Linked DNA regions of Drosophila melanogaster. The protein of the gene in region 1 interacts with the protein of each later gene in a pairwise test. Each region holds a gene or a part of one and is shown on either strand. Other genes may lie near its edges.

Region 1 (5,925 bases):
ATTGAACACAAACACAATTTCGTAAGAGTTTTCAAATGTAACCCAAACATTTCCTTTTAAGTTTTTTGCTCATAATTGTAAGTAATATTCGAATATGCCAGTGAAGTTCAAAAGTGTCATTAACAATTATTTGCCAAGTACAAGGATGGTTTATGACTTCAAAAAGAAAAGAGCTCTCTTCGATGGTTAGTTACCGTAACTTAACTCGACTTCGATGGTTTAATGCCAGATGGATTGGGTAATATACCCCGTAAGGTCAACGTAATTTGACTTCTATTCACGCCTGCCAGCGTTGGCCATTGTAGTTGGTAAGTCAGCTGTCAACGAAATGCGGTTTGTTGTTGATACTTGGAGTGTTTTTATTTTTTACTTCACCGCCAGGCAATCGAAAGTGAAAACCCGATGCAATGAACTCTCATCCGCGGGAGGATGAAACTGTGAAGCATGCAACTCCTACGCCACAAGTTGCAAGTAGGGAAAGCAGCAACAGCAGCAGCAGCAACAGCAGCAGCTGCGTTAGAAAAATTCAAATAATGCGACAACGGAGCCATTCAAGTGTGGCCAAGAGGCCGCAAGCAGCTAACAACGAAACCGGCAACGATATCAAGTGACAATCATAAAGAAAAAGGAAAATATATATGTATGCATATATAAAATAAAAATAACAAGCTTTTGTTGCCACTTTTTCTCATTACGCTTTATCGGCAGCTATTAAAGCCGCAAAATCTTGGCGACATTTCGTAATGAGGCTTGGGAATGGGGCAATGGGTGGGCTTTGGGGAGGGGGGGGGGGGGCATATCCGATTGCCAGTAGTTTTGCATGCCCAAGACAAAAGGCCATCAACTTGTTGAAAGTCTGTTGCTATGACTGTCGATTTCAAACCGAAAATCGGATATTAAGTCCACCCGTTTTGGCCTGGGAAATCGCCAAACCAAAACCCGATCATTGAATTGTAGCTTGACCTTTGCACACAGTCGCTTTTTCGAACGCCCTACCGAATGAACGCTTTAGGCCCGAAATAACAAAAATATGGAGGGGGGCTGAAACAACACACGGTAATTCTTTGGCTAATTATTGTTTAGGCCAAGACCTTGCTGGCATTTTCTTTAAACAAAAGTTTTGCTTTCGATGTTTACGCTTGAGTTTTCAGCGGAATCGGTGGGTGATTATGGCATATTTGCTAGAGAACGAATTAAGGAAATATTGTGATTGTTCGATAAGGTCAAAGGGTGTGGGTGCCGGCGAGGGGTGGTGGGGTGTGTGATGACGGCACAGGCCTTCAAATTAAAGGAAATGAAAATTGGAGGTGGAAACATCGGATTTTATGGCAGAGGAAATATAAAGAATTCGTTGCAATAACTTGGGAAATGTTTTAAACAGTTAAACGAAACATGGGGAAGAAAGTTATTAGCAAAAAAAATTATTTGTATCTATGTTTCTAATCTAATAACGCAGAAAAATGATATTGATGTAAAATATATGTAATTTCTGAAATATTACACTACCTTCAAATATCAATATCTTGTTTAAGTATTGGAACTGATATTTATTCAATTATTCATGTTTGACATTTATATTGCTCATTTAATTGAAAGAATTTATTTATAAATTATAAATTTATTTATAAATTTATTTATATTTATTTATAAATTTATATTTTCAATAAATCGAATGAATTATTAGCATTTATTGAAGTTCCCGCAATATTTAAATTACGCTCCATTAATTTATGATGTGTAAGCCACTGTAAATCCTATTATTACATTTTTGTTAGCTTAATTGAGAACTAAATTTGATGAAAATTTTCAAGAACATTTTTATTTACAGCTTACTACCCATTTTTTTTTTTTGTGCTAAGTTACCCCGATGCAACTTTCAATTCCACTTGATGTTTGCTGGCAAATTCATTGAGACACTTAATAAATGTTACATATACGCCTTTCAACCACTTTAGACCCCCAACTATGCCCCCTTATCACCCTTATCAATGCCAAGTGAAGTTTACTCTCCAATTTCGACCCACACACGACACTTTTCGCACATAAATCAAGTTGACCTTAAAAAAATCAGTGAAACAAAAACTTTGTCATATCATGGCCAGCAACAACAACAATAATAACAACAACAACTGCAAGACGCCAAAGGAGGCGAGGATTTTTGTGGGCAGAAGAGGGGGTAGTGGGGTTGTTAAGGGGAGGCTGTCAAGGCTACGTGACAAACAACAAGGTGACATAAATATCCAGTTGCTCCAAAAAGGAAACTGAACTTTTTTCTTTAATGCCAAGGCAACATAGCAAAGTTTAAGGGAGCCGGGGGATGTGGGGCAGAGTGAGAGGGGAGACGGAGACGCGTTCCAAGCAAAGAAAGCATAAAGTGATACAGTGGGCACTCGCGTAACAGAACTTCAGGGAATTCCAAGTCAAAGAAAAGTGAACTTGAATTCAGAAAAAGTTGTTAATTAAATATGTACATAGTATTAACTGTTTTTAATATTGTTTGTAAATAATTTTAACAAAATATTTGAAAATCACGTTGTTTCTATAAATTTCCCTTAACGCATATACATATGTACTTAATTTTTTTTGTAGCCCAAGCATTTCCTCATAACGTTAAATGTTGGCATTACTGCGGAATTTAAATTCCGAGAATTCTCGTTTGGCGCAAAGATTACTGTACTAACCTGCTGCTGTGTTGGCTGATGTGTCGGTTGCATTGGCCAGACGAGATTGAGATTCCTGGCGGATTGTGCCGGTGGTTGTGGATGCTGAGGGGGATGGGGCGGCTGGGCGGTGAGCAGCTGATTAGAGGCGCCAAAGTGTATCATGTTGGCGGTGTGACGTCGTGCTGGCAGAGCGGGGGGCGGGGTGGCGCAGGGGGAATCCTGTTCGTTGTCTCTCTCTAGCGATTCCTGATTCTCCAGCTGCTGCTGTTGTTGTTGTTGTTGTAGTTTGGCCTCGTTTGTTGGCGGCTTCTTGGGCAATGTCAAGGCATTGTTGTTGTTGTTGTTGTTGTTGTTGTTGTTGTTGTTGTTGTTGTTGAGCGAAAGCGAACGCGCAAAAGAACTTTTGAAATAGCGACACGGCATCTGGAAATCAAAGTCAAGATCCGTTGTCTGCTGCATGTTTGTTGTGGTTTTGTGCATTTCTATTGGCTAAAACGGGATTTCTTTATTTATATATTTGAATTTTCCCTTGTGCTGCCTCTTTCTCTGCTATTTTTTTTTGTTGGTCTCTTTTAAATTGGCATTGTTGATGTTTTCCTCTTTAGCGGTATTTCCCTTTGGATTATTGCATTTTTTCACGCACCCATAAGTTCACTTTCACACACTCACGCACAAATCAATTAGTTTTTGACACTCGAAGGATTTTTTTCAATACAATTTAATAGAAATTCAATGGAAATCAATTTCTGGGATTTATTCGCGCGCGCATAACACAAACAAAATTCATAAAGCCGCAGCTAGTTTTCGTTTGCGCCCGAATTGATGAGTTTTACTGTACTAAAATCCAGAAAAATTGGGAAATATTGATTCGTTGAAATGTTGTTGGGTTTGAATTTTAGTGCGAACTGTTGTTATTAAATGTTCAAGAATAATGTTCTACTAATAAATAGCTTGTTTTTCAACTTTACAACAGTTTGCTGCTTCTCGTAATTCACGCGACTTTTCCCGGCCGAGGTGGAAACCTAACTGGAAGACCAACTGTATGTTACCGCCAAATTCGCAGACAGTTTGTGCTTGGGTCACCCTGCTTGGGTTATTATTTCGATCTCCAATGTTAATGTTAATGTTATTAACAGTAAGCTCGTTCTCTCTGAAATAAATGAATGAAGAAGTTACCAAGGCAACCGAATAAAACAGAGTCTGCAAAGAATGTCTTAACAGCTAGCTATTCTCTTAATAACAGTGCAACAACAGTAAAAAAAATATGCTTAAAAGTATGCTAAGCATTTTGTTAAACAATCGTTTTTATGTCATAAGATCAGATCGTGAAACCTAAATTTAACAAATTAAATGAAAGAAACGTCTTGAACGTATACATTTAAGTGATTTTATAGAGACTTTTTTTTTAGCTTATAGCATTTAGTCAATAGCTTAGTTAACTGCACAAGAGTCTATAATAATAAAAGTCTATAAATACATTAAATTCGTTAACATGTTTTCAAATGTAGAAATGTTAATGATTTGGCGCGCCAAGAAATTTGAAAAATGTAGATTGTATTTTACAAGAAAATATGAAAAAGTATATTAAAAAGATAAAGTTTATTTTTGTTCTTCTTTTAGTTAAATAGATTGCATCTTAGTATTCATTATAAATATTATTCCAAATGTCTTAAAATTAATTAGTTTTTATATTTTATCATGAGTAAGAAAAGGGTTTTTTTCCAGTGCAAATTTTGTTCAACGAAACTAATAATATCGGTTGAGAAATGGAAATTGTTTTACCATTCCCCCTTCTAAGGAGGCATTAGCATTCGTTCCTCCGCTGACTAATCCCCGGCCTAATTCCCATACCTTATGTGGTATCTATATTGGGGAGACAGCTTGCCAATCAATTTGATTGCGCTGCGCTGATGTTTGCCCCTGTTTATCTAGCTTAGGGGAAGGATTTTCAAGCTTTTATCATAACAGAAGTGCTTTAATTCCCTTTGATGAACATTTGTACATAACCCCCTTTTGACAAAGAACTCCATAGCTTACTGATTTCGAAAAGCATGACCCAAAACTTAAGGTCATATCATTTTACTAGTAGGAATTTAAGTATTTAAACTAAAATTGGAAGTCATCTAAAACTATTTTTAAATGTAAAAATATTAAATATTTTATGAACCACATTTAATGTGTTTTTATTCATATCAATATATTTAAATAATTTTATAATTTAAATGATTTATGATATTTATTTATTTATAGACGTAAAATATTTGATGGAATCCTTCTGCAACCTGACCCCTAGCTACTAAAATAGAAATACGGCGATTAGTCAGAGTCGTTCGTAGTGGGTACTTAGTATAGATTTCTATTTTTATGGCCCCACGATCCACTGTTGCCATGTGCGCATGCCCCTGCGACTCTCCGTTACATAAGGCTTATATAAGAGGGCCATGCGAGCGAGCGAGATGGACATATGCCGCTTGGCTCTCTCGCTGCTTCTCCGCAACTAGCCCCCTCACGCTCTGGCCCCCTGAATGGCTCCAGTGAAGATAAAGACCACGTGATTACATTCTGCCGGCTGCACCAAAAAGAGAGAGCGAGAGAGCAGAGTGAGAATGAGTACTTGAAGTTGCTCTTATTTTGATTTCCAATTTATGTCCCAATGCTCCCCCGCGCCGCCATCGAAATGATTTAATCTTTTGGAAAATAGTTTCAGTTACGCGTTGTTGCTGCGACCGTGTGTATCGGTAATCGGTTTTCAAACACTTGCAATCGATAGGAGGACACAGAGTGTGCAATGAGCGAGCCCAAGGAGAATATCATGGACTTATCCGTGCGAGGTAAGTGGTAGCGTAGGCACCTGTCCATTGCCCCCTTGCCCCTCTCACCGAATCATCGAAAGCCCCAACAAAGGTAACACGTGCATTGGCGAGAGTGCGAATCGGTTTTGTTTGCTCTGCCTCTCACTCACACTTTGTGCGCGAAAAAGAGAAAGAGCTCAAGAGAGCATTGTGGGGGCGTGTGATAGTAAGCTTTTGCACGGTTTTATTTATTTTTTTGTTTTCTATTTTGCCGTGGTTAAGCCCGCCATGTGACAAATTATTTGATTTTGTCTTCAGATTGCTACAAATTGGTTTCTTTGATTTTCTATTTTTTTTTGCTATTTCCATTTCTATGGTGATTTTTTATTTACCTAGCGGCGGAGCCTTAAGCAAATAGTAGCTTATGTACGCACACGCAAAATTAGAGTGCTTGTATATTGTGTTCGGCC
Region 2 (4,219 bases), on another chromosome or scaffold:
GTTTTTGTTTTTCTTGACTGTTGCGACATCGATATGCTTGTGTTGTCATTTGTCAGCAACATGGCAAGGATATTTGCAAGTGAAACTCCTGCTCGTCCTGAGCGTATGACTTTTGGGCATCCTTGGTGCTTAGAAAATTCAAATTAAATATCGGAAAAAGCTAAATTTATGCATTTGAATTATAGTTTATTATTGTGCCCTAAGTACATAAGTATTGAATCCACGAACTTGTCATGTCACGCAGCACCGCTCCCTTCTCTCTTTCATTATCCTTGAAATTTGCATTAATGGCCACTGCGCATCATTCCAATTTTCCGAAATGGATTGCCATTAATTTATTCCCTTTGCAAATTGCTGTGTCATTTAATTTCTCTCTTTCCCCACATTTATTCTTTTTTATTTTTCATATTTCCCCGCCAATTTGCATTGCCCACTGTGTGAGTGTGCGTGTTGTAATGCATTTTAGTAATTATTTTAGCTGCTTTTCACTTTCGTTGAGGGCAGTCATTAGCTTTTGAACTGGGCGAGGAAAATTGTACAAAATTCTTTGCCAACTCTGCCATAATTTAATTGCCCTTATGACTTAACTAGATGGAAATTAATGATTATTATTTATCAAATTAATATATATTACTTTTTGCGCGACTTTACAAAATGGAGAAATCAGTGTGGTTTTTTTTATGCTGAAATTGTTGATGAGATGGGATATAATTTAATGGATTTTTCGATTAATTGCGTATAAAGTGCAGTTAATTATGTAATGATAATATCAGCTACTTTGTGGTGTTCACGTGATTTCAAATTGTAGCCTAATATTGTTTAAACGTTTTTTAAAGTATTATTTTGAATTGCAACTGTTTATATTTTAATTGTGCTTCTTATAACGCTAACTGGAATATGGAATTTACAATATGGTTTAAAAAAATAAACTACTTTACAATGATCGAACGGACGAATCTTTAAACCTTTAAACACTTATATCTGATAGTCTCCTCTGCTCCGATAGTATTGGCCTCTGAACTCGAAAGGTGCACAACAAATCCTGATTGATGCACATCATGGCCCCAGCATTATCGAACTCCCCGCAGTAGTTTGGGGCCGAGAAAATTGTGATCAGCTGGCGCTTGGCGAAGAACTCGTAGCCATCCTCGACCACCTGGTGACCCCGACAAATGAGGTTCAATTTGAATCGGTGCAAGAAGGCACTGACCACATCTGAACCGAAGGTGTGGCTCACGCCCCTTTCGTTGGGACCCCAGCCCATGATCCGCAGATCAGGGTCGGACCACAGAATATCGCATATCAATCCGGATTCCGGTATTTCGATGGGCCGGCGAATTTCCCGTATCTGCTGCATGCTAAACAGATGGGGACTCAGACCGCCGTGGCAACAGAAGATATTCTCCTCGATGATCGCCGCCAGTGGCAGGCAGTTGTAGCAATCTACAAAAGTGCGCCACAACTTCACCGTGTATCGCCTTTTGCACTCGTCGTAGAATCCGTAGAAGTGATTTATACTGGAGCACTCGTGGTTTCCTCTTAGTAGGTAGAACTTGGTCGGATACCTTGCCTTGAGGGCCAGTAGCAGGGTCAATGTTTCGATGGACTGCTTGCCTCTGTCCACATAATCACCCAGTAGCAGATACACCGAATCCGGCGGATAGCCATTGGACTCGAAATAGCGCAAGAGATTTAGGTACTGACCGTGTATGTCTCCCAGTAAATTAATCGGAGCAGGAATCTCCAGCAGAGTTGGCTGTTTGAGCAGTACTTCCCTGGCCCGAGAACAAACCGCTTCGATTTCCCGGACGGAAATCTGAACCACGGATCCTATCTCTCCGATTAGTTTTAGCTTTGCAATTATTTGGTCCAAATTGATTCCCTCGTCGAACTTAAGAGTTTTATTTTTGTTCGAGCCGTTGCTTAGTAACTTCTTCATCATATTTTCGGCACACGGAATTTTGAATCGCAATCATGTGTGGGGTAAGAAGGGCTTTCGTTTCTTATGCAGCAGTTTGCTGGTTTAGTTTTCCTAGGATTTTTGAGAGCAAAATCAAGGTAGATGAAATGGAAATGTTAAATTTTATTTGTTAATCTTTTGTTTCTTCAATTTCATAGTAAATCCCCCATCAGACTAAAACCATTTAAAAGCCACATTACTGTCGTTTCATTCAATCAACTAAATTTGAATCACCAGTCCATGCTAAACGCCCCCACCCACCCTTACTGTCCACCCGGAAAATCCCGCCTTATAAGCCCCCCCCCTTCCCTCTGTTAACTCCTCGCCAATTGTCAGTCCGCCCTTCATCTTTGTGTGAGCAATCGCATCCGTTGCTTTTATTTTTCAAATCAACATAATGGACACTTTGCCCGACGGCAGCATCATCCAGTCACCTCCCACCCCCTTTTGGCCATCACCCCTCCGGCCATGACAATGCATACATATATAAAGCATATATAAAAAAAAAGTGAAAAATACAAAGGCAACTTCAGTTTTTGGGCTTTGACAGCAGACATAGAATGCAGAAAGAGAGCGACGCATTTTCGAGTGGGTGGGCCAACCCCCATACCAGCAGCCCCACACTCCTCCCCATCTTGGGGTGGATCAAGCCCTAGTCCCCCGTTTTCCATAGTCAGTTCTTAAGCCAAAACCTACCGCAGATGCAAGTATACTATCTTCAAATGCACTGTGAATAAATATATATCAATATTATTGCTAATGATTTTTAATAACTGCTAAGTACGATCAAGTAAACATATATTTTTGTTCTTTGATAATTCTGTCAAATTTCGAAATACATTTTTCGAACGTTGAAGATATTATAATATATTTCTGCCAGTGTATGTCCGTCTCTTCGCCACTCATTACACATTTTGCTAACTGCAACACGGAGTGTTGTTGCTGCCGTTCTTGCCTGTTGTCATGGCAAGTGTCACAACAGTCGCCTGCATTTTGTTGATTTTACGAGCATGTGACAGGCTGAGATTCTGCGAATGCATCAACATCAACATCAAGCCAGCGCATCAACCCTGAACCGAGGAATGGAAATTGAAGAGGGGAAAGTCGGAAGCGGGCTACAAATGTAAGTCGTGTGATTAGTAACGGATTCCGCAAAGGGCGCTGCGGAAAAGCGGTTGGGGAGGCTGCCCCCAGCACTCGGGCCTCGACCCCCACTCCCCTCCTTTGAACTTCATCCCAGATCCATCAAGTTGACAAGACCATTTCTGTCCACATACGAACTTGTGTTCTTTGATGAGAAATATTTTGCACATTGCCTTGACTTTCTACATTTTATCACACAACTTAAGCATTTCTTTAATACATAAAACCAAATGAATGTATAAATAGATTTATATAATAATGATACCAGTTTGGATAGCGTATTTACCCGTTGAGATTAGAGTTCTTGCGTTGTGCAAGTACAATAAATATTAAAATGTTTCACACAAACTATAATCTCAGCACTTTGCATTTAGAGAAAGATGGAAAGCGTAGAAGGAGAAAACAGATTAATATTTTTGGACGAGCGGCTTCTGTTTCATGTAGTAAACACAGCTGGACCCATTCTTTCATTTTCGGTGGATTCCAGCTGAGTTTTGCTTATCTAATGCATTTCGCCCCTACACTTGTCTGTCTCCCTCGCACAGACTTGCCATCTAGCTCTTCTGCTGCTCTTATCTCTGCGGATGATATTGTATTCCCCGCAAACATAAATGCACTGAGAAAATTTATACTTATCAGCAGCCAATGTTAGCTTTTTTTTATTAAGATTTATAAATGACGTAATAATTATCTCTTATTAAGCTTAAAAACTTATTTAATTCTTGTCTTAAAAAAAACTTTATTTCTTTCAGTGTTTCAGCAGTAGCTCCTTCTCCCTTACTCCTTTTGCTTGTCGCTGTAGTTGTTAATTGCTTGCTGCTACTTTCTTCAGCTCCCCCTCTCTTTCTACTGCCCTCTCTCCCCCTCTCTTTCACTCGTTAATCACTGCACACATGAATGCGGTAGTTGTTGTTGGCTTTGCTTAATGGGTTTTTATTTGTTTATGCATGTATGAGTACTAAGATGAGGGATGCCCCCTGCTGACCACTCCACATCTTCCTGCCTTTCCATATCCACTATCTACTGCCATCTCACTCTATTTATCTTAGCTATAGTCGTCGCTTCTGCATTTTCAAGACCCATGGGAATTTTTACAAATGTTTTCAACGACAAGTG
Region 3 (3,968 bases), on another chromosome or scaffold:
GTATAAACAGCCAACCGAGACAGTATACCTAATTCTTTTCCGCCACTTTGTTGACACCGGCATAGTCAATGGGGAATTCCTTTCGGCTGATGCTGATTGCCAAAAAAGATAAAAATAAATGCGGAAAGAAAAAGGCCAGAACAACCCGCGCCTAGTGAAAAAAAAAAACTGAATATCCCTATCGCACGAATTCAAATTAACCCAACATACTCACACGCCCACCAGTGCTGTGTCGTCTTAGATTGGATTTCTATAGCTGTAGTAATAGCTGTTTCAAATAATATAAATTTTAACACATTTTATACCCGTTACTCGTAGAATTAAGTAGAATACACTAGATTCGTTAAAAAGTATGTCAAGGAAGTATGTAGAAGGAAGAGTTTCTGACCGTATAAAGTATATTTATTCTTGATCAGGATCATGTCCGTCTGTCTGGTCGTTCGTATGACCGTCGAAATTTCAGGAATTATATAAGCTATAAGGTTAAGATAAAGCATACAGATTCTAAAGCACAAGTTTGTTCATCCATGCAGCCACGCCTTCCCATTAAATTCTCCAATATCTATCGATATGCCAGAAAATTATGAAATATCACGTTCTCACTGCCAGCAGCTGAGTAACGGGTATTAGATAGTCGGGGAACTCGACTATAACATTCTCTCTTTTTTTTAATTCAAAATATTTCATGCATTTAAATAGTTTTTGTAAATGCCAAACACCCCAGTGTTAAGGCAGCACTCCCCAGTTTCGATCATTAAATATCGTGTGCTGTTTTAATATCTTCCTGGTGAACTACAAGTTGCAAGCAACTAGATAGAATGGTTTTACATAACTAACAATGGCATATTCACCAAACTTCCAAAAAGTGAAATTTATTATTGGGTACAGAGTAGTTTCAAATATCAGTAATTGGTTTTTCAAATTGCTTAACTACAAATTTACAAGAACTGCGGCACAAAAACTTCAAAGTGATAATGACCCTCAATTTGTGAATTGCCAGCATAACCAAAGCATGACTATGATGGGAATATTGTCAACTTGAAATCTATTCAAATTGCCTTGACCATTTTCATCACCTTCCCTGCAATGAAATAAAATGAAAGAAAAAACTACAGATGTAATTAATTTGCTTACCCTTTGATCGGCGGAAGAACATTTTCTTCGAACTGCCCGTTCACATTGACTGGTGGATAATATCTTGCTACCACCCAGTAGTAACCCTTTTTGTCCTTGGCTTGCCCAATACCCATTTTTTTCGCATTCTTCCAAACGAGGGCGGTGAAATGACCCGTTGACATTGCAAACTGTGGCTTTTCAAAGTCGTAGTCCGCGATTTCGTCGTACCAGTCTTGAACACATTGCAGAGGGGTTTGTGACCGCATGCACAAGTTTTCACCATAGTTTTGACCGGCAGAACTTGAATGCTCTAACTTTTCATTATTGGCTAGCACCTGTTCGAGGGTATTAAAAGTGTAAAAAGGTAACATTGTTATTAACCAACGAAATACTTTAGCATATTCTTCGCATCCCTTTGTGAGTTCATCGTCCAAGGTCAGAGGCGGACTTCCATGCTTCTCCCTCAACCGATTGTGTTCATTTAGATGGTCCTCCTGAAGATCAGCTATAACCAACACCAACTAGAATACAGGAGAATAAATCAGATTTCATTTAAAATTACTAAATATTTAATTATACCAAACATAGAGCCAAAACAATCAATATGTTCACCAAAAACATGTTTTTTTGAGAATAACTATAGCACGAAAACTTTGACAAACTTATCTAGGATTCTGATTGCTTTAAAGACCTCGAAATTCTGGTGACGTAATTTAAAAGTTACTTAAATTGTAATTAGTTTGGTGTACCTATAAAGCGTATGGAGGATCCCTTAATTAATACAGTTTTTAGTCCGTGCACTTCTCATGCAGTTTGTATCATTTGTACATGAGTATCGTTCCAAAAATCTACTAAAATATGAAGTTGACTTTAGATTCGGACATAATGCATGGAAAGCTGAGTATCAAAACCAATCTCAAAAGAAACACAAATTAGACGAGGGTTAAATTTTGTTTGTCTACTTAGAAGTCTAACTTTGTGTTAAAGGAGCTGATTATTTTTAAAAATAAACCTATAGTTCTAGTGACTCTTACTGATAGGGGTTTTTCCATATCAAAAAAGTCTAGTTGCCTCAAAACTGATGCTTCCGCGGCAATTTGCTTGTTGTGTTGACAGCTGGCCTGAGGTTTCATGCTTTTTGCATTAGGGTACTGACAGATGACTTCACAGAGACACTGAAAACCAGAACGAGGAAAAGCACAATATTTTTTCGGACATTTTTTAATATATTTTGTATGGCGTATGTTTTAAAACTTATATGCAGTTTTATTTTTGTACACCACTTTTGTTTGGGAAATGCGAATAGAAATTTCTCTGTATCAAACGGGCGAACAGACTTATTGGGGGTGCAGTGTGCAATTATTTTGAGCGAGTAACCGCCACCAGGCCAAAGGATAATGCGATGAGTTCTGATCGCCAGCAACAACGGACCAGCTCCAATGGAGCCACGCCCCAGCCAGATATTAAATTTTCGCTGTTGCTCCATGGAGCTGTGGCAATAAAGGTTTGGCTTTGCCAACCATGTGCGAGGGCACTTTGAGGAGGGACGAGCTCTGGCTCCCACACATGTGGCTGATGCCTTGGGCCATCATCGTTGACAACAATATCAGTGGCTTTCGAAACAGCGGCAGCCGCAGGAGCAAAAAAGCAGCTGGAACACGGACTAGTGGAACTTACTTTGTCCTCTGCGTGGCTTTGGTTTCTGGTTTTTGGCTGTAAAATGTCAATTTGGGCCCGTGACGAAGATTTATTGTGCGCGTGTTTGATAGGCGCGCTTAAATATCCCATTCAGCACACATATTTCCACTATCAATTTCGATGGCACCAGCATGAGCATAATCTGGTTCGTCACTGGTGATGGCACCTCTGCTGTTTTCAAAACTTAGGAATGGAAATGATCAGCGTGAAATCTAGGTTTTGTACGCAACACAAAATCATTCACAAAAATAAGGTTTTTGGTACTATGGGTATTACAGATGATTTCACTGCACTGCAATTTATGCAATTTAAAAATTAAATTTATTCAGGGCTTAACAAATAAGAATACTAGTTTTGTATACATTTAGACCTAAATCCAACAACAATTTCAGTACATTCCGCAGGATATATACGATTGCTGCTTATGAATGCAGAACAGTCGCTAAAAAGCCAACGAGTTGACTCGCTGCCAAGAGCAGCATTTAAATGAAAATGGCAAATTCATGCCACATAATGGTTAAACGACATCAGAAGAGCAACACGCAAAGCGTTTATTTTTTCTGAAATTCCAGGCACGCAAGGACAAGCAGCACACACTCAAAATTGTAAGGGAAAACTTGCAATTTATCCATCCGAGTTGCCTCCTGTCACCGGCACCAAGTTGTCCCACTCCTGCCTGGCCGATAACTCAATAGCGTAGCCCGGGGAGCATTGGCATAACTAAACTAATTTCTTTTAATTCAAACACAGCAACTCCGGCCCAACGGCTCTGTTGGACACTGATGGCCAAATGGCTGGGTGTGAAACTTTTATGTCGCCCCCTGCATGGACCTCCGCCCAGGTGGTCTTACCCACCTCCGGGCTCCTGCTTCCCATTGCCCAGTGCCCATTGCCCAATCCATTTCTCCCTGGCGGCAGCCCTGACCGACATTCGATGAATTGACCAACGCAGCTTGTTATTTTTCGTGTGCAACAGCGCGTTTTATTCGCTCCTGGAGGTTATGTGCCCCTCACCCCGTGGCATCTAGATTCAAATCAGAGATGGCACTTACCTATCCTAAGAAATCTTAAAAAAAAAGGTGAGCCAGCTTATTGTAAGCTACCGATTACCATCATTTACAATCAAATTATGAAACTGTCAATGATTTACCCTA

Evidence for each region. The genes of interacting proteins can lie anywhere in the genome.
Region 2: the proteins of CG32365 (region 1) and PpN58A interact in a two-hybrid assay, tested with the Drosophila melanogaster proteins (one large-scale study listed by BioGRID).
Region 3: the proteins of CG32365 (region 1) and CG31482 interact in a two-hybrid assay, tested with the Drosophila melanogaster proteins (one large-scale study listed by BioGRID).

The regions. Positions count from the first base shown.
Region 1 is NT_037436.4:7,866,810-7,872,734, reverse strand, and holds the start of CG32365 (uncharacterized protein), read right to left. Parts: upstream 3,694-5,925; 5' UTR 3,632-3,693; exon of another isoform or gene 3,153-3,631; 5' UTR 3,144-3,152; coding exon 2,682-3,143; intron 1-2,681.
Region 2 is NT_033778.4:21,880,507-21,884,725, forward strand, and holds PpN58A (protein phosphatase N at 58A), read right to left. Parts: upstream 2,028-4,219; 5' UTR 1,943-2,027; coding exon 968-1,942; 3' UTR 846-967; downstream 1-845.
Region 3 is NT_033777.3:6,599,079-6,603,046, reverse strand, and holds CG31482 (uncharacterized protein), read right to left. Parts: upstream 1,806-3,968; 5' UTR 1,738-1,805; coding exon 1,696-1,737; intron 1,638-1,695; coding exon 1,509-1,637; intron 1,452-1,508; coding exon 1,135-1,451; intron 1,082-1,134; coding exon 982-1,081; 3' UTR 846-981; downstream 1-845.